4 linked regions of the Oreochromis niloticus genome follow. The protein of the gene in region 4 purifies or fractionates together with the protein of the main gene of each other region. This does not show direct contact. Links are inferred from orthologs where the notes say so. Each region holds a gene or a part of one and is shown on either strand. Other genes may lie near its edges. The genes, in order: ecsit, unconventional myosin-IXa, sertad4 and ppp2r2ba.

Region 1 (7,171 bases), on a different chromosome or scaffold from region 4:
TTAGTACTTCCCCAGATAGTCTGCTGTATTTTAAGGGAGTCAAACATTTGTGACTGAATAAATACGTTTGCAATCATTTTGTATGGCTTTATTAAATATGCTAAAAAGAATTTACAAAAACCTCCCAGCTGGTTGGGAGGGAGTCAGGAGGAAACTTTCTCCTGTTCACTGCTTCACACCCTGGCTTCTCCTGGGCTCCTCTTCCACTACAGCCTCAGCTTCTTCCACTACAGCCTCAGCTTCTTCCACTACAGCCTCAGCTTCCTCCCCAGGGTGTGCTTCTTCTCTTTGGACGTGTGAAGGAAACCAGGATCGACTGGCCGAGTCGGCGTCGCCCACCCCTTGCAGCTCCCGGGGTCCAGCGCCCAGTCGGAACAGCGTGGGGATCTGACCTAGGATGGGGTTACTCTCTTGGAGGCCAGAGATCCACTGATTGAGGGTAGCCTGGTCCCCCTGACTGGTCATGCACATGGCAAAGACTGGACCTTCATCCACTGGATAGACACACAGACACAGATCATCTATGTTACACCCTGGAAGTGAGGGGTTGTGGTCAACAGCAGTGATGCCATATCTTACAGTCTTCCACATCGAAGCTCTCATCGTCCCCCAGGTCGCGATCCAAATCCAGGTCTAGCTGCAGAGGATAGCTCAAACACCTCTCTGGGTCATAGGGCTCTTCTATCTGGGGGGAGGGAGGAGGAATGTTTTTGTAATTTAATTCACATATTCTATATTCATCAGAGTCTACAATGAGGGGAACACACAGGCGGTCACTGCTGAAAAGGCCGGCTGTTTGCAGATGACAGCCAGCCGAAGAACCGGGGAGAGCTTCACAGGCAGTGGAGTGAGGGTGGTGTCAGTTCCCCAAACACCAGCATGCACAGATGTCTACAGGAAAGCAGCTACAACTGCTGCATTCCTAATATCTGAGTGTATTAATGAACACACCAAGCTGGACATTTCTGTATTATAAATCCTGTTTTTAATTGATCTTAGGAAATATTCTAGAATCTGAGATTCTGGGTGTGACTTTTCTGAGCTATAACCCACAATCATTAGAATTCAAACACACTGTTATATGATCATCACACAGCATTTATTATCCACTACCCACTTTGTAATGGATAACAGTAATGTTCGCCCACCTTCTCTTCAGGTGGGGTAGGGTCAGCTCTGAGGACGTAGTAGTAAACACACGTTTTTCTCATCCACAGAGGGAAGGGGCCCTCCACAAACACGGGTCTGTCAGGGTTGTGCTTAGCGAGCGCTTCCATCTGGCCGGGGCTCTGGATGCCTGGTGCAAACACAGGAAAGACAGAAACAAACAACAAATATGGAAATTATGCCTCTATTAGTATTTATTAGCAATATATTTCTGACTAAAACACAGAATGTAGTTTCTCAAGTCATCCATACCTACTATATGTGGAAGTGTGACTTCAGCGCCGCTCTCTGTGACGTCTGTACAGGGCAGCTTGTGAGGAGAGCACACACACAAAGAGTTTGGTAAATACAAGATTTACATCTGATGACAAAAGTCAAAGACTGTTTCCAGCCTTCATGCTAAGCTAGGCTAACCCACACGTATACCTGGTAGACGGTCACTTTTGCATCCCAGTCGTTTGCCATGCGAGTGAGGCTGAAGCGTGCCAGGTCTACTGGGTCTTCAGGCAGTTGCTCAGGAATAGGAAAGGGGTTTACGTGCTTGAACTTGGGGAACCAGTACATGATACGCTGGTACTTTCTCATAGGGTGGGTCTTTTCTCCAAAGATCTGGACCAGCAGCACTTTGGTCTCAATGTTGGGCATGATACCTGAAGCACAGACACTGACACTTAGACACAAAAACAGTGTAAAGAATACCTCAAGATTCTCAGCAACTACCACAAAACTATAGACACCCACCATAATTCTCCATCTGCTCCAGGACCTGCACTCCACACTCCTGCTGACGGGGATAGTGGTTGAACATTCTCTGGATGAAGTTTCGCGGCACGAATACCTCTTTAGGAAAAACATCCAGCAGCTTGTTGTAGACAGTGAGGTCTTTTTCCACCCCGAATTCTGGCATCTTCTTCAGAGCAGCATAGATAAACTCCACATGACCTCGACGCCTTATGTCTCCCTTGGTGTAGACGTCTATCACTTTGTTAAATGTGGCCTTGGTTTTGGCTTCTTTGGCAACCTGCTCAAACAGGTCATCGTGGGTGACCAGAGATTTGTCCCTCGTCTTGTCCTCCTCCTGAACGAACCGTGCAGGCTGACCCTTGGTGCACGCTGGGCTGCTGTGGAAATGTCTCAACACCTAAAAGCAACATGTTTTAGTTATGAACGCATATAAAAATTCATTCATATGATCTGATTAGATTATTTATTGATTAACAACAAACAAAGAGTCGACTGCCAGCTGCCTTTCTCTGCGGTTATATCAGTGTGGTTTAAGAGCTTAAGTCTGGTCGCTGCTAAAGCTCACCTCGCGCTGTGCGCACTGCAAGCCGCCGAGCTGACTCGAGGAGCGTGGCCGGAATAGAGCGCCGTTGTCTCCAGCAGCAGGAGGCAGCAGCCTCCCTGCGTGGCTGAGCAGCCGCAGAGACTTGAGCTGATGCAGGCAGCGGCTGCCCTTCATAGTCGAGCCATCATAGCGAGTGTTAGAGAACAGAAGTGCGCACGGACGTGAAGCTCACACATTCACTCTTCGGTGAACCTCATCCAGCTGTAAATATTTGTACAGAACAATAAAACTTTACATTTCACATTTTTGTGAAGTTTAGTTCGTCAGCTGCTCAAACGTTGTAGTAAGGATAGTTATTATTATTACCCCAAAATGTATAACCAAGTTAATACTGACCATTAATGCCGACAATCGGACAAGACTAGAGTCTCCTTCAGAAAGCGCTGTCAATGTACGCTACCATGTTGAAAGGCCAGTACAGCATTCCGGTCCGACACGCGTTTCCTTCCCCCAAACAACGGAAACAGTGACAGAAATGATTGTTCCGTAAAACCGCAAATAAGCGCAGTAAATATTCTCCATTGAAATGCAGGAAAATTATTATTTAATCAATGCTATTATCCGCGTTGTAGCTATGATTCTTCAAACTATTAAACAAAAGTAAGAAAAGAGAACGCTAACTAAATTTAAAAAAAAAAAAAATCATTGTCGTGTTCTTGTCAGTTTAGTCTAATTCAGGAGATATTTCTTAAGGCAAGAGTCACCACTTTGCAGCCATTGTCGAGCTTATGTTGGCTGACAATGGAGTATTAAAATTCCCTTGAATTCAGATACACTCACGGTGACACAACGTTGCATTTATAGAATCGCTATATAAGGAAAACAACAAAACAACAACAAAAACAAAAACAAATAAAATCACAACTAAAAACTAAAAGAGATTTTAGTTATAAGGGAAGGGACGCGTAGAGCTGCCACCCAGGCAAAAGAAAAATACAGCTATATCACGTTATAACGTGAAAACTTTATTGTTCTAACAATATACCTTTCATGTTTGTACAATATAATTTTCGCGTTTGAACAACATAATATCACGTTTTTAGAATATACAGAATTATCACGTTATAACAAAAAAAACCTTTCACGTTCTTACAATAAATAAATATTTATCTGTCAATAAATATTATATTGTACGAACGTGGTAATTATGTATATTGTAATAACGTGATATTATGTTGTTCAAACGCGAAAATTATATTGTACTTACATGATGCTATATTGTACAAACAAGTATATTATTAGAACAATAAAAATTTTCACGTTACAACGTGATATAGCTCTATTTTTTGCCTGGATGGCAGGTCTACGCTTCCGTAATAAGGCGTTTTATATAAAATAAATAAATCACCTGTCTTGCGGGTATCTTTATGACGTCAGATCACTGTTACAAAAGGACATTTTTAACGTCAATTACGCTTTCTAACTGGATCAATAAAGGATATATAAAGTCACTTTACCAAAAACTAATTGAAGCTTCTACCTTGTGACAGGAATATTGTGTGTGGTGAAGACGACTGGATATCATTCATGAGGGATGCATGTGATATACGTTTCATTTCTTATAGGCCAACAAGTTATTTATAGCCGTTTGAATGCAGGCGATCACTTTCTGGCACAGGTTTCAGGGCTTGTAGTGCACAGCGCCACCACGAGATGGAAACAAATGCTCGTCTTCTAGCTGTCAGATGATGACTGCAGAGCTGCAGCCATAAGAAGCTGCTGTAAGAGTTCTGTGAAATGTTCTGGTATGCGGACACTGTGAAATCCTCTTTACTGAATCACTATGACTGAGGCGAATATCTGGCAGCACCTTTAGCCGTACCTGGTGCCTTCCCGCCAATAGTGTCAAGTTAGCTATAACGAGGGGCTACACTTCCGGAAGCGGTTTTCAGTCTGTGGTGTGATTGTTTTTTAGTTTTTCATTTTATATAAAGTAATTTCGAACTATATTTTATATTTAAGCTCGATTTACTTATAAGTACCCCCCACACCCGTGCGTTTAATAAACTATTACGCTTTATGTTGCGGAAAATTTCGCGTTTCCGGTATTCTTAGACCTGTCAATCGACTGAAGTCTCCAGAGTGTGGGCTGTGATTCTCTGCTGTCAGCATGGAAAACACACCTTAGTGCATGCTGCTCCTCTAGAAACAGGAGACACCGTTTAAACTGGGATTATGGATTCCTCTACCAACAGTTTGGGTGAGTACAGCAGCGACAGTGGTCCTTTGTGTTTGTGTGTGTGTTTTTTTACTGACACCATTAGCATTGTGGAAACTTCACTGTCCGTGCTCGGATCAGATAATCACATCGCTCTCAAAGGAACGCTGTCAAACAGCTTCAAAGATGGCAATCTTTAGAGAAAACTAGCATACACCGCACCATACACGTCTTTACACAGTTTAACTAACGCGTTAAACCTCGAACTTTGTTCGGCCGCCTTTCAGTCACACCAAAACTCTGTAACTGAACACTTAAATCCAGTTTTTCAGCAGTTTGGCAGCGCTCGTCGCCGCATTCTTTGGTGTCTTTTATTGCAAGCGGATAGTCGGCGGAACATCCGCTCTGTCTTTCAAAGGATTTTTGGTGCTTAATTTTGGGCTTTTCCACATTTCTCCATGTTTTGTTCAGTAACTCGTCCACACTTTAGCAAAGACAGACAGTGGTCTTAAACGTCGATGGAGAAACAGGACGTTACAGCAGCACTCTGTGACTGTGTAGATGTGTGGGAACGGGCTGCACATCGTTTACATTATTTCTGTGGCATTCAAATAGTTGTCTTAAGTCTGGCCCGAGTGATCAGGACACCCTGGAGGCGTGCCTGCAACGCCCTCACTTTGTGTTGCAAACTGAGTTGTGTGCTGCTGATAGATTCCATTTTGTCACGCGTGGGTAGTTTGAGCATCAACATTGAGACCACCGGCAGAGCGTTCAGGAGCCTGAAATAATGGAATAAAATGCACGGAAGATCGCAGCAGCCTGTGTCCATGCACAAACAGTTCATCAATATATTAGACGAAGTACCAGCTGAACATCCTTCTCTCCAAGTCACTGTGGGTTGGGTGAAAAAGCTCCACCCTGTCTGCCCCCACAATACTTATTATTATGCAGGAACTGGAAGTTTGATAGCTGCCCAGTGCTGCTTTTGATTCCCATCTGTATACAAACATCCACACCCCAAGCCTATCTTACATACTCATAACGTGGTTTCTTGAAAGCTGGTGGGCAGCCAAAGTACTGGGGAACAGCGAATATATTAATATCACATGGGGAAGCTTGAGGAAGGCAGCTGTGACTCAGTGCTGGAGGAACCTTTAAGACACAGCCATTTCTCTTAGTGAAGACCTGTGTTACGATGGTGATTATGTTTAATAAATGAAGGTTGTGATACATTACCTGCCTTGGAAAGCTGTATGAGGTGTGCTGGAACTTTGGAGATTTGCTTGTACCTCAGTGTCAGCTGGCTGGCTTATGTAATATGAGTTTGTAGGGATCAAATCACTGCTGTGTTCAGCAGTAACATGCAGATACTGATACGCAATATTTCCTCCACTGAATACAGCCCAGTATGGTGGACAGATTTGCAGGAATCAAATGCCAGCATAAAAGGTGAAGTAAATCTGACATTAGATTAAATGACTGGCTGATAGACAGAAAAACTATCTTTGCAAACTAATCATAGTAATTTTTTAGGGAAGAGGGGACAAATGTGCAGTGTATGCAGATTCCAGTGCCACACAAAAGAAACTTTACTGCTTTTCCAACAGTTTACTTCTGTTAATGGGTATTTGAGACTTAACAAAACAAGACATTTTAAAGATACTGCCTTCAGTTTTAATACTGATATCATTTTTTAGATGTTAAAAATAAAGTAAGATAATATATCCATATTGGAAATACAAAATAAGCCTGTTATCTTACTGCATTTCTGTTGTTTCATAACATGAGTCCTGTGTTCTGTAATTGTTGTGTCCATGACTTTTATCAGTAATGATAACTGTACAAGTTCAGTCTGGGCAGAAATTTGGAAAAGCATGAAAAACTCCTCAGATTTTCAAAATGCATTTACTGAGTCACTCCTAGCAGATGAACATGGACACATGCATGCTTTGTGTGTGTCTGTGTGTGTGTGAACACCATACAACCCAATGAAGTATCACACCCTCTTAAGTAACTGCATAACTTTAGACGTTACAAGAAACTCCCCGGCACAGAGTAAGGAATGGAAGACCTTTGTTTCAAATGACAGATGTGCTGAAGTCTGTAGTTTATGGCTCAGGAGGTAAAGTGTTTGTTTACTAGTTGGGAAGATAGTTTTTTCATACTCTGATCTTCCATAAAAGGTCACAGCTTATGCTAATAGGGTCAAATAGACCAGATTAGAAGAACTGTATAGAAATTCCAGTGAATGTGGGATTTATGTTTGGACGTAACTCAGCGTTACCTTGCTTACATTGGCAGGAATCCTAGTAAAGGTGGGGGATCGTACCATTAACCCTGACTGACTAACACTTCTTTCTGACCCACACAGATCATGTACAGTCGCACACTTAAAGGAGCTCAAGTGCATAAGCATAATATAAGTACCAAGCTCTTTACTATAAATGAGAACAGTGGAGGGAAAATAGAATCAGTGAAACGCTTTGCTGACACCGACA
Region 2 (7,579 bases), on a different chromosome or scaffold from region 4:
TTCCCTATTAATACTACCGTATAAGCCTCTCTTTTCTAACCCTTCCTTCACACATTTCCATTAGTTTTCCTGTTTCACATCAACCAAACAAACTGCAGATGTGAGAGCAATGAACCACAAGATTGTATGATTTGTCCATCCATTATCTTCCACTTATCTAATTCAGGGTCACGGAGGGCTGGGGCCTATCCCAGCTACCGTAGGGCGAGAGGCGAGGTACATCCTAGACAGGTTGCCAGCCTGTTGCAGGACTAACACAGAGAGACAGATAATTTGGACTCCCAGTCTTACCTGCGGCCAATTTAAAATCACCAGTTAAGCTAACCTCACTACCTACACATCTTTGAATAGTGGGATAGGTTCAAGTTACCTGTGATGGTGGATTCAAACCCAGGACCTTCTTGCTGCACTAACAACCGCGTTCCCAGTATGGATTATTATTTCTGATAATAAACGACATAATTCCAGGCTACATATTTAGTGTTTAAATAAAATTAAACCTTAGTGGAGAGCCTCCATATCATCAGGGACACGTGCACAAGTTCCCAGGTTCTGGATACAAGGTAGGATTCATAAATAGTGACCAGCTGTCAGCAGATCCCTGTCAAAGGGGTTTGGAAAATGGGCCCCAGTGAGTTAAACTGGCACACTGTGATGTTCACAAAGCAGCTTCCCAGCAGAAGATTGCATTTGCATTAAAAAGTCAAGAAAAAGCCAAATCTAGACACATTGGTCCAGAGCCTCTAAACAGCTGTAGAAAATAGATTAAAGGCTTCCACTGTTTATGAATTATTGAAATGACTGGTATCTCTCTTTCAGTGCCTTGAGTGCTCTTATGTGGTGTTTATATTAACTTGTGAGGAAAAATAGCCACCTGGCTGCTCTTCCGCTTTCACAAATGTCTTCATCTGCCACAGATTTAAAAACGAAACATCTCTGGGCCGCTTTGGAGCTCCTTCGCCGCGCTCACGAGCCCATTCGCCAGCCAGCTGGAGCTGTCAAAGCAATGTTTTCAGTTCTGCTCTCAAGGGCTTACATAATGACCTGCATGAAATGTTAACGTCAGCAAAGTTGACACTGCAAAAAAGCAGCATGTTCCTTATCCCGAACCGGCAACGGGGAGAGTGAAACCAGACAGTACAGCTCAAGATCACCCAGAGGTGGTGAGGAGTGTTTGTCTCTCCTTGCCTGTCAAAGATGTCCACCCAAAATGCTGTTATCTGTTTTCTTGAAAGTGCCATCACTGTGGCATTTCATGCAGATTGCCACAGGGAGGGGAGGAGGAGGGTGGAACTAGTACTGGGGCTTTCGGAGCTAGTGGATGGAGACCTTGAGGGCACCGGTGGTCTGACTGAGGCCAAGCAGGCATGTTTTAACCTGTCAGCTGGTTTGAAATCACCTCATTTTGACTCAGACTCTCACTCAAGTGTTATTTTATTTTCATCCTCAGCCTGACTTAACATCACAAAATGGCTCGTACTTTTTGGTATTACATCACACCAACATTTCCTCTACCTGCTCTCTCATTCCAATCTGTAGCAGGCTTACAGCTTAAAATCCCGCTCTGGTGTTGATAGCTCTACTTTTGCTGACAAGTGTCAGACTTGTTGATCGGATGGATGTGTGTCAAATTAGTGCATTCTTTAGTCACTCATTTGCATTAAAAAGTCGAATTGCCTACGTTTCGAAATCAAACCATTCAGAATCTACGATCAGGCCGGAATCAAAGCTTGTTTAGACTACAGGTAAAGCAGAACGCTGCTCTAAGTGCACGCTGTGATCAACAGGACATAATACAGGATATATACTGAGCCTCGTCCACAGCAGCTGAACATCCTCCTGCCCTGCTGTAAAAAAAAAAAAAAAAGCAGCTATGCCCCATCAGCAGCAGCAGCGTGATGTCAGCAAGCTGAGAGGCTCGCGCTTGACGAAAAAAAAATGTCACCACCGAGCGTCACGAGCTCACAGAGCGCGTTAGCGGGGAGGTAAATGACACAAAAACAAAGCCCCGCAGCTGCAGCTCCAGCAGCCCGTCCTCTGCGACACAGAGCCCGGCCGGGTCAGCGCCCCGGACCGTCTTACCCGTTTACACCAGTGCGTCACGTCTATCTGCTGCACCCCGCCAGATGTGGAGCCTCGCATCCACCGGCCAACATCTGTAACCGTACCCGCACATTTACTGCATTATGTAAGAAAACAGGGTGACATTCATCCGAGGCGGTGGCGGCGGTGGAAGAGGGTGACGTGAGAAAGGTGTAGGTGTGTGTGTGTGTGTGTGTGTAGGCATCATAAGGTGGAAGGTATTTTTGAATGATGGTGTGGGTTAGGTGTCCTGGTGGAACATCTGAACTAAGGTGGGGGGGTGGACAGGAGGCTGCAGCCGATGAGCTGACTGATCGGGGCAGCCAGCAGCTCCGCAGGACGGAGGTTTGGCATTCCTCACCCCGGTGTCTGCTCTTACTGACAGCGGGAGCTGAACAACACGGAGCTGAAAGAAAGGAGAAAAGGCTTACCTCCTCCACCGTGCCTTCAGTCTGAGCACAGCCCTCCGCCACAGACCGTCCTTTCTGAAGAGGAAGAGCAGACCTCCTCACCAAAAACACCCGTGCTGATTTTTTTTTTTTTTTTTACCGCAGGGAAAAAGCCGCCGTCGTTAACAGAGAGCGTATCCGGCTGCTCAAATCTCCAAAATGTGCCGCAGATAAGATCCGGTCTTTGCCGTCCCTCTGTCCGTGTCGTACTCCCGGCAGCTTCTGTTTTGGGTGCTCCCGTCACGTCTGCCCTCCTCCCACAGCAGCTCCTCCAGCTCCTCTGTGCTCTCTTCTCGCTCTCTCTCCCTTTTTTTCCTCTACGAGCCGTGGTGCTGTTATCGCTCGTGGACTCGCGTTTGCGCGTTCACGTACACCGTAGGATGGGCGCTTTATAGCAGTGATGCTGGTGGGTGGAGGTGGGAGACTGCTATGAACCAACAGCGATTGTTTTCAAGAGATGACCTGAGCAATAAAAGTAGTTTTTGATAGTTTGTTTTTTCTGAGCAGAATTAACGTGTTGGATCTGAGAGTGTCACTCAGATCATGACGTGCAGAGGGGTGTGGCCAATGCTGACACACCCAATATACAATAAACTAACACGCACACACACAGGAAGATGCATAAATTGGAGTAAAATATCTTTGTACTTCTGCAAGATTTAAGACTGAATTTAGTGGAGGGGTTTTACAGTATGGTGTTTTGCATTAAGCCAGTTATAAAATGAGCAATATACAAATCAGTACTACCTGCAGAATCAAGTACTTATTTTGAAGATGAAATCCAAACCAAGGCTTACCTTATTTATTTAATACAGATCACTGAAATGACACAGAAAGCTTAATTTTACTGTCTGTTTTCTATTATTGTTTTATAGATGCAATCATGCAATCCTAATCGACGTGTCACCGAGATTAAAAATTTTTTGTTTTTCCAAGACCGACTGGGCCAAAAGGACAGCAGAGAATTAACCATTAAAAGTAAAGAAAGAAACAAACACAACTGACTCACAGTACAAGCAAGTGAACGCAGGGCTGTGTCTGGGCCTTGATGTGCTTCCAGCTTCCCAATGTGTCCTTAGTAGAACTGACTTTACTGACATGTTTCTATTATTTTGTGCATGATTAAAATATGCCACCAAAGATCTATTAGACAACGAGGCTGCATTTGTTTTAGCTGCAGAATGTGTTGTGGATATCTTACATCCTTCTATATGGGATAAACCAAATGTTGAGTGTGGAAAAAACAAACAAACCCAATGGCTGTCAGGGACTTTTTATAGTGTAGCATGAGTGTATCATTGATTTAATTACCACTTGCTGTCAGAGACATGTTACCAAGAGACCTAATTATGTGCAGACATTCTTGTGTGATGCCAGGATGGATTCACATCTCTCACGACCTGTTCTGTGACATCTCAGGCACTCCCAGTGTTGTCTTTGGGCTGTTTAGAGAGCCTCAGCGACGTCTCCGATGTCTGTCAGCCTACCACTTTGGGCCAAGCCAAAACATCTCGGCATCAGTTTGATGGATGGCTGCAAGCATTAATGATCCCCAGAGGATGAACCCTAATGACTTTGCTGATCCCTCCTGACTTTTTTTTGGCAGAAACCCCTGTGTGCTTTTCTTTGTGGTTAAAAGTTAAGTGTCTTAAAAACTAGTGAATGATTTCCTTGATGATGATATTTATTGGCTGTACATACGTTGCACTCAGGGACAGTTTAAAATATGTTTAAAATACCAAGGCGTCAAACACTGATTTTGAACTACAACTCACAATGAAAGCTGAAAGCAGGGGCGCCACCAAGGGGGGTCCAAGGGGGGGCACTGCCCCCCAAATTTGCGGACATTAGGTTACTCCATTCTGGGAAAGTGAATCTTAAGCTACTTCTGCTATGAAAAAATTCCAGAGGCGTCCCTGGCTGGAAGCTGTCATATTATTTTGGGTGTTTGTTTGTTTTTGGACCCAAAAATGATCATAAAATAGAGTGATGTGATGTTATCAGCCACAGGAGTCAAGCCTAAGGCCTGGGGCCAGAATCAGCACAGCAATGAATCCAATACATTTTGGAGTTTTAACTGTAAAAGTTTTACAAGTTTTCCTACTGATAAAGACCTCCCTTATGGCCAATCTTGCTATGCCAAAGTAACACAGTAACAGATAAACAATCAACAGATAGAAAAGTTGCTTCCCCCCCCACTGTTTTATTTTTGTTTTTTACAGTGGGTCAAAAAGAGGATATTTTCTGTAATTAATAAAAACGTTACTTTATAATAGGACAGTCTGGGCAATGAGCTACCGGAACATTTCACTGTAATTTTATAATATATTATATATTTTAATAGAAAGCTCCTTGAGGTGACTGTTGTTGTGAATTGGTGCTATATAAATAAAACTGAACTCAAATGAATTAACTATTAAGCTATATCAGGGAGTAAAAGTGTAATTCAATTTCTTTACACTGACAGAAAACAAAGTTTCACTGTTTAAGATCAAAGTGGGCTGTATGTGGCCTACAGTGTAAAATCAGTTTGACGTCCCTGGTCTTCACTGGCAAGTTTAGTTAGCAAGGTACAGCCATAAACTGCACAGACACAATACCAAGGAGCACACTGATTAAATACTAGAACTTCACTCACCTCAAACTTCCATTGAGTTAGTATAGAGGGGAAAGTTATCTAATGGGGGGTGAGGACTGTTTTTGTAGCAGGTTGTACTCATGATTTTGAATGCTCTAAAGTTGGAAATTTCAACACAGCAGTCTATGACCTCAAGTGGCCACTAGAGGAACTGCAGTTTTAGGGAGTTAGTTTTTGTTGTTGTGTTTTTAGGCTGTTACTAGACCTACATCATTTCGTATAATACTTTTCTTTTAAATGTAAAAACAAACAAGATGTGTTTTACTGCTAAATGATAAAGAAAGTGATTAAGTTAGTGGTTGGAATGGATGAAAGGGCAAAGAAGCGACGCAACGGTGACACCAGTAACAATGGCATTTTTCCATTTCCAGCTAAAGACTGTCTTTTCTACCAAAGCAAGGTCTCCTAAGTTTTTTTTTTTTAAAACTTAATGTGTGAAAAATGTCACAATAAGTAAGCACAATGGCAAAGACAGAGAAAGAAACTACTGGTTTTTTATCAAAGTCACAGATCACCATGCTTGATCATAATCATCTGATTTCCTTTTTCTTCCCTGATAAACATTTTGATTTTCTAAGTCTTTATAAATCTTTTCAAACTAAACCTCACAGCACAACACACATAAACCCTGTGCTTTCCAAAACACCTGTGCACATGTGGACAGAGCCACACCTCAAAAAACACCTAAAACTCTCAACATAGTGGCATCAGATAAAGAAAATGCACGTGTCTGTTATCAGTTACATAGTTGCTGTTTGTTTTTTTCTTGGTGGACTAAACATCTGTACATGCATGCTAACGAGTTAAACTGTATCTGGTAAGCATCAGTACATGGATGCAAAGTTGCAGTGAATTTGGTGGTTTGCGCATTAGTTGAAACTTTTAATAACAACAAACTGATAAAGTATTGGTCCCTGGTCGCAGCCGTTGGCATCAAGCAATAAATTATTGTCAGAGTTATAAAAAACTCGGAGTATACAGGAACATTTCTGCTACGTCATTATAAGAATTAATCACAGGTTTTTTTCTTCTTTGAGGCGTGTGATGACAGCGAGCTGGCTGTGAGTCAATACTGGCTTCACACAACACACCTCTGTGTCAAGATGGATTTGTCACTGGAAAGGTCACTGTCGTTTCATTTTCGTTTCCACCGCAGGGGTGTTCGGTGAAATGTAACTCCTTTTGAGGTACGGACACACCACACACAGTAAATCTTTGAGGAATCTTATGAGAGAAGATTTAGCAGCCGATCTCAGATAAACTGCTCCAGGGCTGCTTACTCTTGACAGATAATACCTTTGCTGGCAGGGAACTAACTCTCTTTACATTCAAATATGTGTGTGTGTGTGTGTGTGTGTGTGTGTGTGTGTGTGTGTGAGGGAAGAAAGACAGATCACATGCACTCCTGTAGCGGGTTTGAAAACATCCCACCTGTTTTTCACAGGATCGGTTTCCAGCCCGGTGACATATTTACCAGCCAGACATGTTGAAAAGGAAATCCTCCCCTCGGCCCTGAAAGCTGGAATCCTACTCCGCGTCGTGGGGCCCTCGGCTCACGCATTCAGGCTAGCGTCAGCGTCCAAAATGACAGTAGCTCCACATTAAATTGGAGGAACAGGAGCTGAGAGAAGAGGCCGGGGTGATGGAGACAGTCGACTAGAAACGTTTAAATGGAGGGGAGTTTAGCCAGGAGGCCGACAGGGCTCTACTGACATGAGAAACCTGAGATAGGATGAAGAAAAAATCGGTATCCTCGGGAACAGAGCAGACAGTAACAAAGACACCTCTTGCTATTTGAGACTTGGAAATTTTTCTATTTAAAACAGGGTGAAAACTGGCCCCGTCTCACAGTGGCAACATCTGTGTACCAGCAGGAACACACACAAAGCAAATAACATATATATTTTAGGTCAAACTAATGTTTTTTATATAAGATTTATAAAAGACGGGTATCCACTCTGTTTGTGTTTCCATTAAAGTCCTGTTTTCACAGCCAACCTGATGATTGTTTATTTCTTTTGCACTTTTACATCTGACTGAAATAAGACTGAAAGTGCTGAGTTGTGCTGGTCACAAAGAATGATGTAAATGTTGTTAAAAATTCTGTCTGGTGAACAATTGTTTCCCATACAGTACATATCAAAGATGTTCTGGGAAAATCTTCCAGTCTGACACCCACCTGAAATGACACAATGTCTAATACCTGTCTCATTTCCCAGCCGTGCAAATAAGTCGGACATCCCGTCTTTTCATAATCTTCTCTTAATTTTTCTTTGTGTCACAGTTAATTATATCTCATGATGTGACTTTTATGACTCATGAAACTAAAAAGAAAAACACTGCCGGTCTTTGCCTCATACTTTTTCTGGGAAATTCGTGGATGGAAGCATAACTGGATGAAAAACACGAC
Region 3 (6,967 bases), on a different chromosome or scaffold from region 4:
AACCCGGCTTTAGTACTTTCAGCTTCTCCAAAGTTGTTTTCCTTGCTTGATGGAGGCCAATAATTTGACCCCTCTGCAATAGAGCAGTGCATTTTTGTTTTTTTTAAGAAAGAGAATCTACTAATTTCATCGACTGAAACAAACATTTTTGTCCTCAAGCAGCTGCTCGAGGACCCGAGGGGCCAACTGGTTCACCTGCTGCCAGCATGTGAGACCATGTAGTGCTTTAGAAACAAGTGAAAATATTTGAAAGTCAATTTAAAAATGCAGAATTTACAGTTATAGGTTAGTTTAGGGTCGTTTGAAGAAGTTTAGATGTGCAACAGCAAACTTTTGACACATTAATTTTCTGTTTAATGTAGTCTGTTTACAAAAAAAAAAAACAGAAGTAAAATTTCCAGTCAGGGAATGAAAAACAAAAAGTAGATCTCTGTACGTTTAAATTCAGTGCAGTGTATATATTTCAATTCAATTCAATTCAGTTCAATTCAATTCAATGTTACTTATATACCGCCAAATCACAACAACAGTCGCCTCAAGGTGCTTTATATTGCACAGTAGATCGTACAATAATTTCAACTCTGCTGGTCTTCTTTTGCTTCCGTACCAAACAACAGAAACCTGTTTAACATCACTTCGACGAGCTCTGAATGTGTTAATCTTTCACAGGCTGTGTTCCACTAATTACGTGGTTAGACTTGTATGTTTATGCTTTGCTGTATTGTTTCTTATGCTTTCATTTAATTTACAAGTTTTGAAGAATTTTCTGGTTTTTAAGGCTGGCTTTAATTTGTGATTTTTTTTTTTTTTTTTTTTAGAAACTACCTATGCCACAGACGGCATCGGTGCCTTACTGTTTTTCACTCAGCAACCTTGTGTCACAGTGTCTTAACGTACCTATAAATGTATTTTTCTCCTGTACTTTGGACTGACTTTGATTTGTAAACTGTCTTATTAATTGACTTCTGATAGAGAATTTCTATGTGATGATATTGTTTAAAAAAGAAAAAAAAAAAAAAACCATCATCATATAAGCGTTTTTTTAATTGTGTGTTGCGTTTGAATTAATGTTCAAAAATTTGCCTTAAATTGCATTGCCACAAAACAACCAACAGGTGGGGCAACCATTACATTCTGTTTCTTTTTTGTCAATGTTTGAACTTCACTTACTTTATAAACTTTTAACTCTCCTCCGTTAAATGTAAACCACCGAAATTTGCATGAATTCAAAATGAGCGCGGCAGTGTTGTTTCTCGAAATCAGACTGCCTGCAGCTCATGCGGAGAGGGGCTCACTTGTACAGTGGCGTCTTTTGATGAACGTTTCTGCCCCACAGGCAAAGATATAATAGCTACACCCAAGTGTACATCTAAATACCGCTCTATTGCAGAAATCCTAAAAATGGCATGTGGCACAGAAAAGGAACGTTAAAAAACAAACAAGCGCATCTTTAGGTGGATATCTGTTACTCTACACCTAAATATGTTTTAACTTGTTGTACAAGAGTGTAATTAATTCTAGCTTCATTTTTATTGCACAGACAGATAACTTTAAAGCTGTCAGCCCTCCCCCCTCTTGTCGGGGACTTTGCTGTGGTGAAGTGACACCTCTGCTTTGTGTGATCCTGACACCCAGCAGTAGTTTGAGCTACATATAAAAAGAAGGTAAAGAGAGAGAAAACAAGATCAGAGATACAAGGTTTTCACAATTAACTGTGTTCCCAGACACGTTCCACAGCTGAACGCAGAACAAAGTGCTCTCAGGGAGAAACACTGGAAAATAAGATTCAGTGGCTGCTGTGGAATCAAAGGGGAAATGCATAACAGATGAGAGGGGCTTGCTCCCTCCCCTCTCTTTGTCGGTCACATCCCTGCAGAGCAGATCTTCCAACACACAACCTGTCTGAAAAAAAAAAAAAAGCTGTTAGAATCCTTCAGGTGCTGTCGGAAATTATATTATTACAGCCGGAGGGCACGTGGACGTTTGAGAAAGTAAATGAAGTCAATGGTGCAGCCAATAAAAACAATAAGCAACTGCCAGGATGGCTGAGCAATAAGTAGTCCTGCAAAACAAACAAAAGAGGCATCAATTTACTGACATTAGTTAAACTTAACTGAACCTGAAGGAGATTTTAGTAAGTAGAAGAGAAAGTAGTTCTTCAGGCAGAAATGAATGAAAGCATCAGAACTTACAAAAAGGCACGCACACTGCTGCGGCACTCGGCTTCATTAACTGTAATCCAAACATTGAGGTGATTTCGTTTCTGCAGCGAGCATCAACAGCCCTGCAGAGTGTCTGCAGAATACCAACATTTGATGGCTCCAGGCAAAAGCCGAAGTGCACGCTTTTTAGAGACCAAAGGATTATGTAAAGTGGTTAATAAAGAAAATATTAAGTAGATTAAGAAATACCCATTGTCTGCAACTTGGATTCAAATTATTCTCAACTACTGATTAACAGGTTTAAATTTGAGCCTGAGGGATGCTGGATTATTGGGGCCAAGGTGGAAGTTTATGCTACATACACGATACTTATAAGGAAAGTAATGATTGTTTAGAAACCAGTCTCTAACTTTCACAATAATTAGCTAATATCTTCTTCTACCTTATCCTCTGAAAAACAAAAAACAAACAAAAAAGCAATGAAAAGTAATTATGTATTTGTCATTGGCCAATATCAGCCATGCAAATATATATATATATATATATATATATATTTTAAATTCACAATATTTTTCAATGACGTATTTGTTTATTGAAGGAACTAAGGAAAGGAACTTGGGACACCGGCATCCTTGGACAGTATTTCAGAATCAGAATACTTTATTAATCTCTAAGGAAATTGTATGGGTTACAGTTTAGTAACAGACTAAACTAATTAAATAACATAACATGTTACAGAATTTTACCCATGTGTCTGTCTTACACTGGTCAGATTATCCAATGAGCATCCTGGGCACAGTAAGCAGCCTGTGAAAACTATTTTTTGGTGTTTTTATTACTTATTATTTTAGTATTTGCATATTTATATTTTTGTGTCATCCCATATACTGATGGAGTAAAAGGACTGAGACGGGGAATGAACAGCAACAGTAGCTGCACATAATCCTGATGAAAAACAATAAAAAAGCACAAGCTGTTTCATTTTCCACTTAATAACAGTTATATAGTTTTGGTTCTGCCTTTACAATGGTCTAAATTCTTCATAGCATGGATTCAACAATGTTCTGGAAACATTCCTCTCAGACTTTGAGATGATTGGAGCTTTGTGACACGGCGTGGTATCTGCTGGAAGAATCCACTAGAAGATGGTAAACCGTGGTGGTAAAGGGACCCACGCGGTCAACAACAATACGCAGGTAGACTGTGATGTTTAAAAGATGCTCAATTGGTACTAAGTGTGCCAAAAAACATGATTACAGCAGCAGCAGCAGCACTGTAAGCCATTGATACAAGGCACGATGGATTTATTCTTTCATGTTGTTTGCACCACATGCTGCCCCTGCCATCCAAATGTTCCAGCAGAAATCACCACTCATCAAACCGGGCAGTGTGTACAATTTAGCCTAAGTTCCCTGTTCTTGGCTGGCAGGAGTGACACCTAGTGTGCTCTTCTGCAGCTCGAGTGCGTCCGCTTCAATGTTTTACGATGTGTTATGTGTTCAGAGATGCTCTTCTGCAAAACTTTGTTGTAACTTGTGGTTATCTGAGTTGCTGTTGCTTTCCTATCAGCTCAAAGCAATCTGGCCATTTTCCTCTAACCTCTGGCATCTTCCAGAGAAGTGCTGCTCACTGGATATTTTCTCTTTCTCTGACCGTTTTCTGAAAACCCTAGAGATGACCGTGCTGGGAAATTCCAGTAGATCAGCAGTTTCTGAAACACTCAGACCAGCCCATCTGGCACCAACAACCACGCCACGTTCAAACCCACTTAAATCACCTTTCTTCCTCATTCTGATGGTGGCTTTGAACTTCGGCAGGTCGTCTCGACCACGTGGACATGCCACTGGATTTGGCTGACTTTTAATTTGTACCCAGGGATCCCCCACATAACAACCCAGCCACGGCCCTATCACGTGGTAATAAAAACGCTCTTCTGTGGGTGCTTTTTGCAAAACAAATAACAAATTAATCGACATACAATAACGCGGGCGCGATAAGTCACTGAGAACGGGAGAGTGGGGGAAGTTCCGAGCAAGCCGTGAACTCCTCAGCAGTAGTTGACTGGTCGGGATGGAGCTGCGGCGCTGCTGCTGTTGTTTTCTCTCCGACGCACGTTCATATTAACTGTCAACCGACGGGAGCAGCTCGGGACCCTCTGCGCGGAGAACCACCGTGAATGGACTACCACAGAGAGAGCCGGGGCTCGCCTTTATCCCTCCGCCGAAGAGAAGACAAGAAAACATCAAATAAAACAGCTGCGGCATCTGTCAACCTTTGCCGTCTAGGAAAACGCGCGGGTGCAGTAAGAAAAACGGCGCGCGCTCACTGATTAGTATGTAGACAAGTCGCTAATTAACTGGTAATTACACAAGTAGTATTTAAACCCGCCTGTGCGCCTCGCGTGTCTGCCAGGAGTCTAAAATTAGACCGAGGCAGAGCCGCCGGAGGACGCGGTAGTATTTATTTAGTAGTTGTTGTTTTTTTTTTTTTCGTTTTTCATTAACGCACCTTGGATTCCTGCCGTTACCACAAAGCAAGTGTGGAGCCGAGGACGAGGTCAAAACAATTCAAGTCAGGTAAGATCATATCTGCTCGCTCTAATGTGTGAACGTGCTCAGGATCCCGGCGCTGGAAAGTAAAAGTAGGCTCTTAAAATAAAGTAGTAAACGGTCTGGGTTCGTTTTTGAATCACTGCGCGGTCCTTGTTTTCAGTCTGCTTGTTAAACAGTAGCTTATGATTTTGTTTTAATGTGCTACATGTTAAGTTGTGAATGGAAAATGTTTATTGAAACTGTTTTTGTGCGTCCTCCTGAATTGTGTGCGTGATTTTACCGACCTGAGTAAACTATTGGATAAACCTGATATAGATCTTGCTACCTGCCGGATTAATGAGAACCGGGGCGCTCAATAGCTCACTGGTGTGACATGACAGACACCCAGGTCCTACACATTACGCAGGCTGACATAACCAGCCACTCTCCTGGCACCCATCCAGCCTCACTTCATTATTTTTGTGGCGACTGCTCTTGGCTGCAAATCCTGAAGTGGCGGTTGCCTGTATTACTGCTGCCTTCTGAAAGGACAGGCTTTTAGGCGATTTAGCTCATTCCTGAGCTTCTGTTGTCTCCTTGATGTCATTTCTGTGCTTTCTCGGGCTTAGAGTCACAAGCATCCACTGCTCCCAGGGTGGACTATTAACACCCTGTTAGCCCCAGATGGGATTAAAAAATTCCAGCTTGGCATGCGTAATGGAGTGAAGGCAATAAATAAACATCATCTCCCTCCGCCTTTCTGTATCTGCTGTTTTGGTGAAATAAAGGCTTCGAGTGCAGCCGGCTGGTAATAGGGTTGGATACGCTTCACCTCCTCTCGCTGCCAACAACATCCGGAGTCACTTGCCAGGAATTCCACCTTTGCTATTTGTTTCCCTTGGAGGGGGGTGAAAAGTGCTATGTGGAATATAGTGAGGCACGAAACAGGGAGAAACATCCAGGTCAGACAGTACAGACGAGAGGGGTTGTAACAAGAGGAAGCGTCGGGGCTTTTGCAGCACGGTGGACGGCTTCTTGGCATCCAGCTCGGGCAAGTCCGATGCCAGATTCCTTCTCTTTGCCGCCTGCCAGAGCCCCTCCGCCCCACCGTCTTTATCAAAAGCCTCGCTGTGATTTCCCCCTTTCAGTTCTGTTGCTGAGCTATCAATCATATCTCGCTCTCAGCAGACTCTTCTGCTCATTAAGGATGTGAACCTGTAGGTAGCCTGCAGCCCCCCCAGCTATTCATCTCCCTCAGTGGGGCGCAGAGACTCACATCTGGAGCAGCATTGCAAAACATGGCTCTTAGCAGACATGTAGTGTACGCTTAAGGAGATTCAGTGCACTGGTGCCAAGCATAAAATTAACAAGTGTGCGGCTCATACACAAACCTGCACTGGTATGTAATTAGGCAGAAAAGCAGAAAAAGGATAGATGTAGTGGATTATAGAGACTCCAGTGCAAAGGAAAGTCTGGAAAAATAATGCTGAAGGGATGTCAGTGGTGATGATAGTTGGCTGGCTTCACATCATCCCCTTTGTCCCTCTCTTTCTCTGCTCTGTTTTGTGTAAAAGGTCTCAGCCAAGACAAGTTGAGCTGCTTTAGTGAGTGTTTTTGTGTGTGTGTCAGGACCGCAGGGTGTAGCCCCAGACTTTTTTTTCCCTCCCCCCCTCAGGCACAGCTTTCCCATCATGAATGCTCCTTTGTGCTCCAGAATGACACACAAGTACGAAGAGCAACTTCAGAGGAAAGGATAACGCACGTTTGTTTCTGCACAATTAAGTGTAAAAATAGAGGAAGGTGTGACTTCCTCTTGCTCTCGTTTATAGCAAGGAGCTCACGGGCAGTATTTACAGCCCGAGATCCTCTGGCTCAAGAGGAATTTTCTCAAAGGTTTCTTTCAGTGCTTTAGTGTGGGTGTCTGGGGTGAATTTCGACCTGACAGAATTAATGCAACATGTACAAACACTGCTTCAAAATGCCTCACATTCCAGAAAGGAAAAGTAGTTAATCACTTATCATAACTGCTAACACATGTGCAGTCTTGGAGGATTTCACTCCCATTTTTTTATTAGCTTAAAAAAAAATCACCTTTGGTTTCATGCACAGGTTCAGAAGGAAGAAGAAAAGTGGATTTGTTACACTTTTCTTCTTTTTTTTTTTGTACACAAACACACACGATGCCCTTGCTTGTCTTTATTGTGCGGCATGTCCACCTCTGGGAGCATCGGCAGTGACGTACCCACACACAACCCCGGCCCGTGAACCCTCACA
Region 4 (7,960 bases):
CTTGCTTTCTCCATACAACTGTTTCATATTTCTTCACACAGGGAGCAGCACAGGATCGTGTATCATATTACCAAGGCTGAACAAGGCAGCCACGGTTTTTTTCTTCTTCTTCTTGATCTATCACTTCCTCTATTATACCACTCTCTCATGTCAGGCAGAGGGATGGAGACTCAGAAAGTGAGTAAACAAGCTTGGAGTGAAGACAGTGAAAAACATTTTGGTTGTTGGCCGCACCTCTTAACATCAGGGAGCTCAAACTGAGTTGGTATTTGCGATCGAATGCAGTAATGATAAACATTTCTATCATGTTTACTCCATGTGGTCATGGTGAGAAACTAGGCTACAGGAAAAGCGGGTCAATTTATATTTTACAAGACAAATATAACATCTCTAAATTTAAAATCCACATATGTACACTCTAAGTATATAAGAAAAGTTTTCCATACCCATTTGTTAAAAACCTTTTTTGTAAGTTATTTTGTTGTGATTCATATTTTGTGCAATGCATTGCTCCTGATCTCGTTTATAGCTTGCATCTAGTATTAGATAAACACACTTTAAACCTTGGACCTTGGATTTTATACAAATTCAACAATATTCTGGCTGATATAAATAAGATGACGTTTATTGACGTCAGATGCTGATATTTGTCTGACGTGTTGTGCCGCTTTTGTGCTGATTAAATGTTCAAAAGCTGTGTGATGGAGATCTAAATGACTTTGAAACAGGTATATGTTCAAAATGCACTCAGATTTATTTCCACTGCACAATCAGAGCTAACTAAAAACAAAATAAACAACTAGAATCAGTGCTGGCTTTGGCTATGAGACAAACTGATAGCCATAATTTCACAGTCAATGTCTATCTTACATCCGACCTCCGCTTTAAGTGCTGTAATTAATGTTTGATAATCATACTTTAAATGGCTAATCAAGATTAAATTAGTCAGAAGGATGGAGGGAAGAAAAAATGAAATTTAGAACCGGGAAAGATCTGTGATGAAATAGAGAAGACACATAAAAAGTGCAAGAGTAGGTAGCCTCAAGTGCTTCTTCTTCTTTGGTGAATATATACAGTATATAGGTCAGCTCTACATGCTGTCTAAGACCTTGTCAATGCCCACAACATACTGGGACGTACAGTGTATCACACTATCTTCCCTTCTACCAGAAGGCTGAGGGCAGAGCACACACAGGAAAGAGGGCAACCATGCAAAGCTAAATAATGCAATGCCTCAGTCTCCACATTATGACCTAGTAAGTGGTTGGTTATACAAACACTCAGACCCTCTTGGGCTGTGTCTGACAGCACAATCAGCAGGATTATGAAGTCATTTCTCGGTCTAACAGCATGTCAATTCGCCATTTTAACTTCAGGGACTCCAGGGGAATAACTGGAATGGGTGAATGTGAGAGGTTTGGGCGACGTGTGGAGATGCCTAGATGCTCTTGAATTAAGTGATCTAGGCAGAGTGTGAGCTGGTGAAATGAATGGGAGAACCATGAGTAAGGAGCAATGTGGGTACTTGTCATGCAACTCCACAAACTGACTTTTTCTCTTGGCATCCTGTAGGCCTGTGTGTTGACACCTTTAAAGGGAGCAAAATGCACGAGAGTGGAGTGACACTGTTTACAAGACACAGTCACACACACACACACACACACACACACACACACACACACACAGAGTCTTGGAACGCTTTCTATAATTTGCATCAGAAATCTAGATTTGAGAAAGGGCTCCTTCAACTTCATGCACAGTGTCAAATCTGCATTGGTCTGGGTTAACCCTTTGGTTAAGCCGTAGCCCTTCAAGTGGCCAGCCTAACTTCTGCACATGTGTATCATATGTGCAGCAGCCTAAAAACATTGATGTCACAAGGCTCAAACTAAGCAACTCACAGACCCGTGAAAGCCACCCCCCCGTTAAGCGTCCCACCCTACCTTCGGTGTGGCAAGTGGAGGACAGGATGGTGCTCGGAGGGCGGAAGAGATACGGGAGATAACGGGAAAAACATTTCATCTTCTTCTCCGGTGCTTGCTGACGGGTGTAGAGCGTTGCGTTGCGGGCTCCACATCCGCACTGCTGCCGCCGACAGCCAGCCACAGAGGATCCGGGGAGGTTCGGAGAGGAGGAGGGGGGAGTGAAATAGGCTCTGTCCGCGGTGCAGGGGGGCTATGACAGCATCACTTTTTCACAGCCAGGCAGGAAGGCAGGCAGGCAGTAGGCTCCGGTAGAACTGCGCTTCACCCGGGGAGCGAATAGCGCACGGTGTCAGAGCGTCTCCGCTTCGGCAGGTCGCTCCGTGTATGTGGGCGAGTTTGTCTGAGCAGGACAGGGGGTCGCTTCTGTCCTCTTATCATGGGAGGTCAATGTATGTGTGGTCTGCTGGTGTGAACACCCTCCTCGTGTTTATTTCTCAGCGTATTTGGGTTTAAATTTAAAAAAAGAGCAGGGAAAGCGCAATTACTTCGGCGGGAGCCAGGAAGTGTTTCCTTATGAATTTGGCAGTCTGTTTTATATTAAATGTAGCTAAGGGCAAATACTTTGTCTGGAAATTACACTGAATGTTTTTTTGGGGGGTGTTACCGATAGAAAATGTGTTTTGCCGATCTATTAATGCTACTCACACTTATCCCTAATGCCTAAAAGAGGGCTGTGTACTGCACAGAGCCCAGAACTTGATGAATCATAGACAAAACTTGTTTGTAAACCATGTTATCGATTAACTAAGTTTGGCGCCATCTTGTGGAAATATTTAACGTAGCGAGCAAACACAACTTATAACGTCACAAAAAACAAACCTAGTAAACATTGTTGTGCTTGTTTACTAAAAACGCCCCTGCAATTTTATAAACTAAAAATTATTACGTGGCATTGTTTAAAAAATAAAGTTGTTATGCTGAATAAAAATCTTAAAGGTCACCTTATTTTAGTCGAATTTAACTCCTCGCAGCACACGCAGCACTAAAACAAGTTCCAGTACGACGAAATTGTGTCATGTTTGCCAGACCCCTCTGTGTTTACGCTTGTGTTTATCTGTGTTATCATTTTAAACACTGACTTCTCGCGAGACTTGAGTGTGAACTAATGCCAGCGGAAGTAGTTTGCGAGTCTCTTTTCCGCCGGCCATAGAGGAGCAAAGGCAGGGTAAGAATTCTCAGCAGATGAATTCGCCAAAGTTATCGTTATCCATCCTGCTTTTAATACCACTGTGTGTCCGTATACAAGTGTAAACCCCACATATACTTCAGTACAATTAAAAATCAGTGAATATTGGCTTCGTGTTGACGATGGATTACTAAATAAACGCTGTCAGTAGTTGGTCTCCCTGTTAGGTCCTTCAGTATCCGCATGTCGGTTAGCGATAGTGAAGCAGCTCTACTCCTGGTGCTAGCCTTTAATATTTGACCTATTTTACATTCTGTAAGTGTAGTGGGCTTTTAAAAACATTTTTTGTAGAGTGTGTAGTTTGTTCAACCACTGTACCGAGTTTATGTTGCAGAAATATCCCGCTTCAGTCTGACGGCTATCTTATGCTAACTGCTTGAGCTAGCTTAATAGTCGCCTTTAAAACGTAGCACAACCTAGCCAGGTACCTAATACAGCAAAATAACACACCTAGTGGACATTCTAGGTTTGGGTTTTGGGTTCTCAGAGTTGCTTTATGTGGTGTCAGGAGAAAGTAGTGGGTTCTTTAACCCTACATTCTTATATTTTCCTTAAAACTGTAGATCCTGATCCACAATTTGAGTGGACTGTTTTGCAAGCAAGTGCAGCCTTTATCCCCTGGGTTTGTCAATGTGCTATTACTTGTTTCTTTACAGCATCATGAAGCTCAATCCCTTTGTAACATCCTCCCGTCGCAAGAACCGCAAGAGGCACTTCAATGCCCCCTCACACATCAGGAGGAAGATCATGTCTTCCCCCCTGTCTAAGGAGCTCCGCCAGAAATACAACGTGAGGTCCATGCCCATCCGCAAAGATGACGAAGTCCAGGTAATGTGGTTTGTATTGCTGAGGGGTTCTTTTTCATAGCAGATGTGCAACATGTTAGGCGGATTAGTCTGACCTGCTTGTGTATTTACATACAGGTTGTCCGTGGACACTACAAAGGCCAGCAGATTGGCAAAGTAGTCCAGGTCTACAGGAAGAAGTATGTCATCTACATCGAGCGTGTGCAGAGAGAGAAGGCCAACGGAACCACAGTCCATGTCGGCATCCACCCCAGCAAGGTGAGACATAATTGAGTAGATACTGAGTTTGTTTGAGTAGACTTGTTCTGTGGTAGTGTCACACATGGCACTTACTGTTTGTTTGTGTCAGGAAGTGGACCTGAGAGATGTAGTCTTGAGCTTTCCATGTCACAAACTCTTAAGCTGATCAACACAAATTCAATGTGGAGAGTAGCTATATAAGTATTTCTTGGGTATTTTTGGGTTCTTAGTGTGTGCTTTATCTATTGTAATTTTGAAAGTTGAGGTATTTTAGATCTTGATGTTTGTTTCTTTTCCTAAAGCTGGCTCAGAGCCCTGTTCAAGAAGCATGTTCAACAAATAAAGTATATATATAAACTTTGAGTTTAAGTCTTAGGTCTGCAACTCTTAAGCTGTGTCCACGTTGAAAACGATTGTCGTGTTGTGCCTTTTAGCAGTATTCTTCATTCTGTGGTAGTCTTTTCAGTCACTGGTCTGAAAGTCTGAGGGTTCCCACCTACTTCACATTGATAACAGTTACGTCACTCAAAGTCGCCAAATATCATTCACTTTTTATTGTGTGCTTACCAGATTGCTGTGAACTGCTAAAGATTTTGGTTCCAAAACAGCTAATCAGAGTATCTTTATTGAATTTGAGTGTTCACCTTGAGTTAAGCACATGCATGAGTAGGGAAAATGTAAAGCCATCAGAGGAGCTCTGACACCAAGATTCACCCAGAATCATAGGATCATGGGATTTCTTCATGTCTGGGTTAATGAACGGAGGGATGTTCGCTAAATCTGCTTCCATGAGTAGTGCCCCAGTCACTACTGTAGTAAACTTCAATAGCATTCAGGTGCTTGACTCTCTCATTCTGCAGTCGGACAGACTACTTGACTAGTTGTCGTTGTGTGGGACGGTAGTAGCCAAAGGTGGTGTGTGTTGTGATCTGGAGATTGTAAGCTGGTGTTATGGTTCGTCGTTGGTATACTCTCTGCACATGTATACATGTATCCACTTTCCAAAGTAAAGTGGAGTCAGATTCCTTACTTGTGTGCACAAACAAAATAAGGGTGACTCTGATGTTTCTGATTCTGCTCATTGCACTTCAACGCCACCTTAGACCCATTTAAATATGGATGCTGGGTGCTGTCCAATCGCTGTAGTCTGCTCCTAAATTGATAAGTTTTCAAGACTCGATCACTGCATTAGTGCTGGTAAAGAAAAATCCAAAACAAGTAAACATTTTTATTGTGCAGAATAATTCAACTGCTGTGGTAGTATCCCGCTGTGCTATTGGGAAATCCCTATGTTCCTGAAGTTGATTTATCAAGGGACCAACCCACTCACACTTGTCTCCAGTGAGGCTGCAGTGTTTTAACAAAAAAAAAAAAAATAAGAGGAAAAAAAAAGGAACCTTTACAACAAGCCCAAATGACACCAAAACTCAGTATGCACCAGCAGCTCACTAAGGGCTATGAGGGTGCCATCAGTCCTTCTGTCTGCAGACTTCCTTTGTGGACAGTGTAGGATTACTAGATAAAAGATGATGCCACATCTAAGCCAGACTTCAGGTTTCTATATTACACATGTGTAAAGCTGCCTGTTCGGCTAAGATTTGCTGCTAACTAATTATGATGACTTAATCCTGCTCCCGGGTGCACGCCCTAAACTCTGATTACAGGTAGACTGAGAGAAATTTCACTTGGTTTTTGACACAGTGTTTCATCGTACTCTGACACTTGGTATTTTGAGCACTGAAGTTGAAAAATCAAAGTAAAAGTGACCAAATAACATTTTGTGGAGTGCAGTTGTTCTAGTTTAGCTGGATTATAGATTTTTTTTTTTCTTTTTTGAAAATTTGCTGATGCTGTTCAGTTCTAAATTACAGTGTAATGCATTAAACTACCAAAAAACCTCTTTCTGTCAGTTCTGTAAATCTGTAAACACTGGTGGACAGCTGAAGCAAGTACAGAGCTAATGGGAGAGCATGTGACATCTTAGATGCGGAACATTGGTAATTTAGGAAGAATTGAGATTATATTTGAATTTCAGCATATCTCTTTTAATTCAAATTTTTTAGTTTGTTTTTTAATATTTTAACATAAACTGGAAAAGCAAGATTTTCCTTGTACATTTGGGGGAAAAAAATCCTTGGTTACAAAAACAGTGGGGAACTTTTCAATTATTAAGCAATGTGTTTTTGTGTAATTTTATTAAAGAGATTTGAGGATAATTTCAGACATATTGCTATCCGTGAGAGAATACATGTTTGTTTACCAAGATGTTTTTGTGCCTGCAGGTGGTCATCACCAGGCTAAAGCTGGACAAAGACCGTAAGAAGATCCTGGAGCGCAAGGCCAAGTCTCGCGCTGATGGAAAGGAGAAGGGCAAATACAAGGAGGAGACCATTGAGAAGATGCAGGAGTGAAAATGATCTTTTGCTATCAATAAACTCTGTAAATGGACCTCATGTTGTCTGTCATATTTTCATTGTAACGCCCTAAACTCGGGAATGTTTTTTAGTATTTTATTTTAAACATGCTTGCCTTGTTTATGGAAATTAACACTTGGGTATACTGTATGCCATCAAAGTCATGTTCAAATCTCTAAACAGCACACTGCATTACAAGGAATGTAATGAATTGGCCAGTGCTGCTGACCAATTCATTCATTTTCCAGAGAATGAGTAAAATTGTCACATTCAAAGGAGAATTAAATCAGATTAATTTATCTTCACTGACAAAATGGCATCCAACAACTTTAATGTTAATAAATTAACAAAAAATAGTAATGAGTTCTTCACATTTTTATTTTAGTGTTACAAACAAGCTGTGGCCAAAATTGCGTGATTTTATCATTAAAATATGTTCAAGGTGAACTACACAAAGAAATGTTCTTTAATTGCGCAAATGAGTGTAGTTTTGTTACAGGCAAGGAAATTCACGTGACTGACTATACACCACCTCAGCTTCTATGTTGATTTTACTATGAAATGAAGTGAAAATCCAAAATACTGCAAGAAACAAAAAAATATATCAAAGCATTTAAGCAGAATTATGGAAACCCAGCGTTTGCTCTAACAGATCCAGATTAATATACTTTATGGATCCTGCAAAGAAAATTACTTTTACAGCAGCAGGATAAAGAATAAAAATGAAATCTTATGTCCTGACAGGTGTGTTCACCTGTCACAGAAGAAGAGCTGTTTTATAGAGAACAGTAGGAAACCATTTTGGTTTTAAACAAGCTGATGAATGAGCTCTGCTGCCTCTGCAGAGAGGACTGCGATGACCGTGATGGGTTGTCCATGATGGACAGCAGGTAATTCAGTGACCTCTTGCTCTTCACTGAATGCCTCTGGGTTCTTGCTGCCATCTCCGACAGTGTTCAAAAGACAAGAAGAAAAAAATAGATTTTGCAAGAAATTTTACATTAAATTTAGCAAAATTCTACTGAAAAAGTGAAACTTTTATATGATAAAGACTCATTACATGCAAAGTGAGCTATTTCAAGCCTTTATTTGTTATAATTGTGTTGATCGTGGCTTACAGCTTGTGAAAACCCCAAATTCAAAAGCTCAGAATATTAATATTAATAATACCTTTATTAATATTAATAATACCTTTCACAATATTCTTAATATTGTGAAAAGGTCGAGTTGTAGGCTCAAAGTGTCCCACTCTGATTAGCTAATTAATCCAAAACATCTCCAAAGGGTTCCTGAGCCTTTAAATAGTTTCTCGGTCTGGTTCAGTAGGAA

Evidence for each region.
Region 1: the proteins of ppp2r2ba (region 4) and ecsit purify together in Homo sapiens (affinity purification with mass spectrometry; 3 studies listed by BioGRID and IntAct, with this or other methods). This does not show direct contact. The link is inferred for Oreochromis niloticus from reciprocal best matches to the Homo sapiens genes PPP2R2B and ECSIT.
Region 2: the proteins of ppp2r2ba (region 4) and unconventional myosin-IXa purify together in Homo sapiens (affinity purification with mass spectrometry; 4 studies listed by BioGRID and IntAct, with this or other methods). This does not show direct contact. The link is inferred for Oreochromis niloticus from reciprocal best matches to the Homo sapiens genes PPP2R2B and MYO9A.
Region 3: the proteins of ppp2r2ba (region 4) and sertad4 purify together in Homo sapiens (co-immunoprecipitation; 3 studies listed by BioGRID and IntAct, with this or other methods). This does not show direct contact. The link is inferred for Oreochromis niloticus from reciprocal best matches to the Homo sapiens genes PPP2R2B and SERTAD4.

The regions. Positions count from the first base shown.
Region 1 is NC_031967.2:3,207,111-3,214,281, reverse strand, and holds the start of ecsit (evolutionarily conserved signaling intermediate in Toll pathway, mitochondrial), read right to left. Parts: upstream 3,007-7,171; 5' UTR 2,852-3,006; intron 2,717-2,851; 5' UTR 2,630-2,716; coding exon 2,477-2,629; intron 2,309-2,476; coding exon 1,909-2,308; intron 1,818-1,908; coding exon 1,594-1,817; intron 1,478-1,593; coding exon 1,420-1,477; intron 1,298-1,419; coding exon 1,149-1,297; intron 686-1,148; coding exon 580-685; intron 495-579; coding exon 166-494; 3' UTR 1-165. Other genes in the region: eml3 (echinoderm microtubule-associated protein-like 3), read left to right, coding at 4,691-4,715.
Region 2 is NC_031972.2:44,062,325-44,069,903, forward strand, and holds the start of unconventional myosin-IXa, read right to left. Parts: upstream 3,003-7,579; 5' UTR 2,514-3,002; intron 1-2,513. UniProt on the Homo sapiens protein: Myosins are actin-based motor molecules with ATPase activity. Unconventional myosins serve in intracellular movements. Regulates Rho by stimulating it's GTPase activity in neurons.
Region 3 is NC_031983.2:26,686,602-26,693,568, reverse strand, and holds the start of sertad4 (SERTA domain-containing protein 4), read left to right. Parts: upstream 1-3,967; 5' UTR 3,968-4,738; intron 4,739-6,967.
Region 4 is NC_031966.2:29,656,425-29,664,384, reverse strand, and holds the start of ppp2r2ba (serine/threonine-protein phosphatase 2A 55 kDa regulatory subunit B beta isoform), read right to left. Parts: upstream 3,003-7,960; 5' UTR 2,023-3,002; coding exon 1,944-2,022; intron 1-1,943. Other genes in the region: rpl26 (60S ribosomal protein L26), read left to right, coding at 3,832-3,999, 4,095-4,235, 6,500-6,628. UniProt on the Homo sapiens protein: The B regulatory subunit might modulate substrate selectivity and catalytic activity, and might also direct the localization of the catalytic enzyme to a particular subcellular compartment.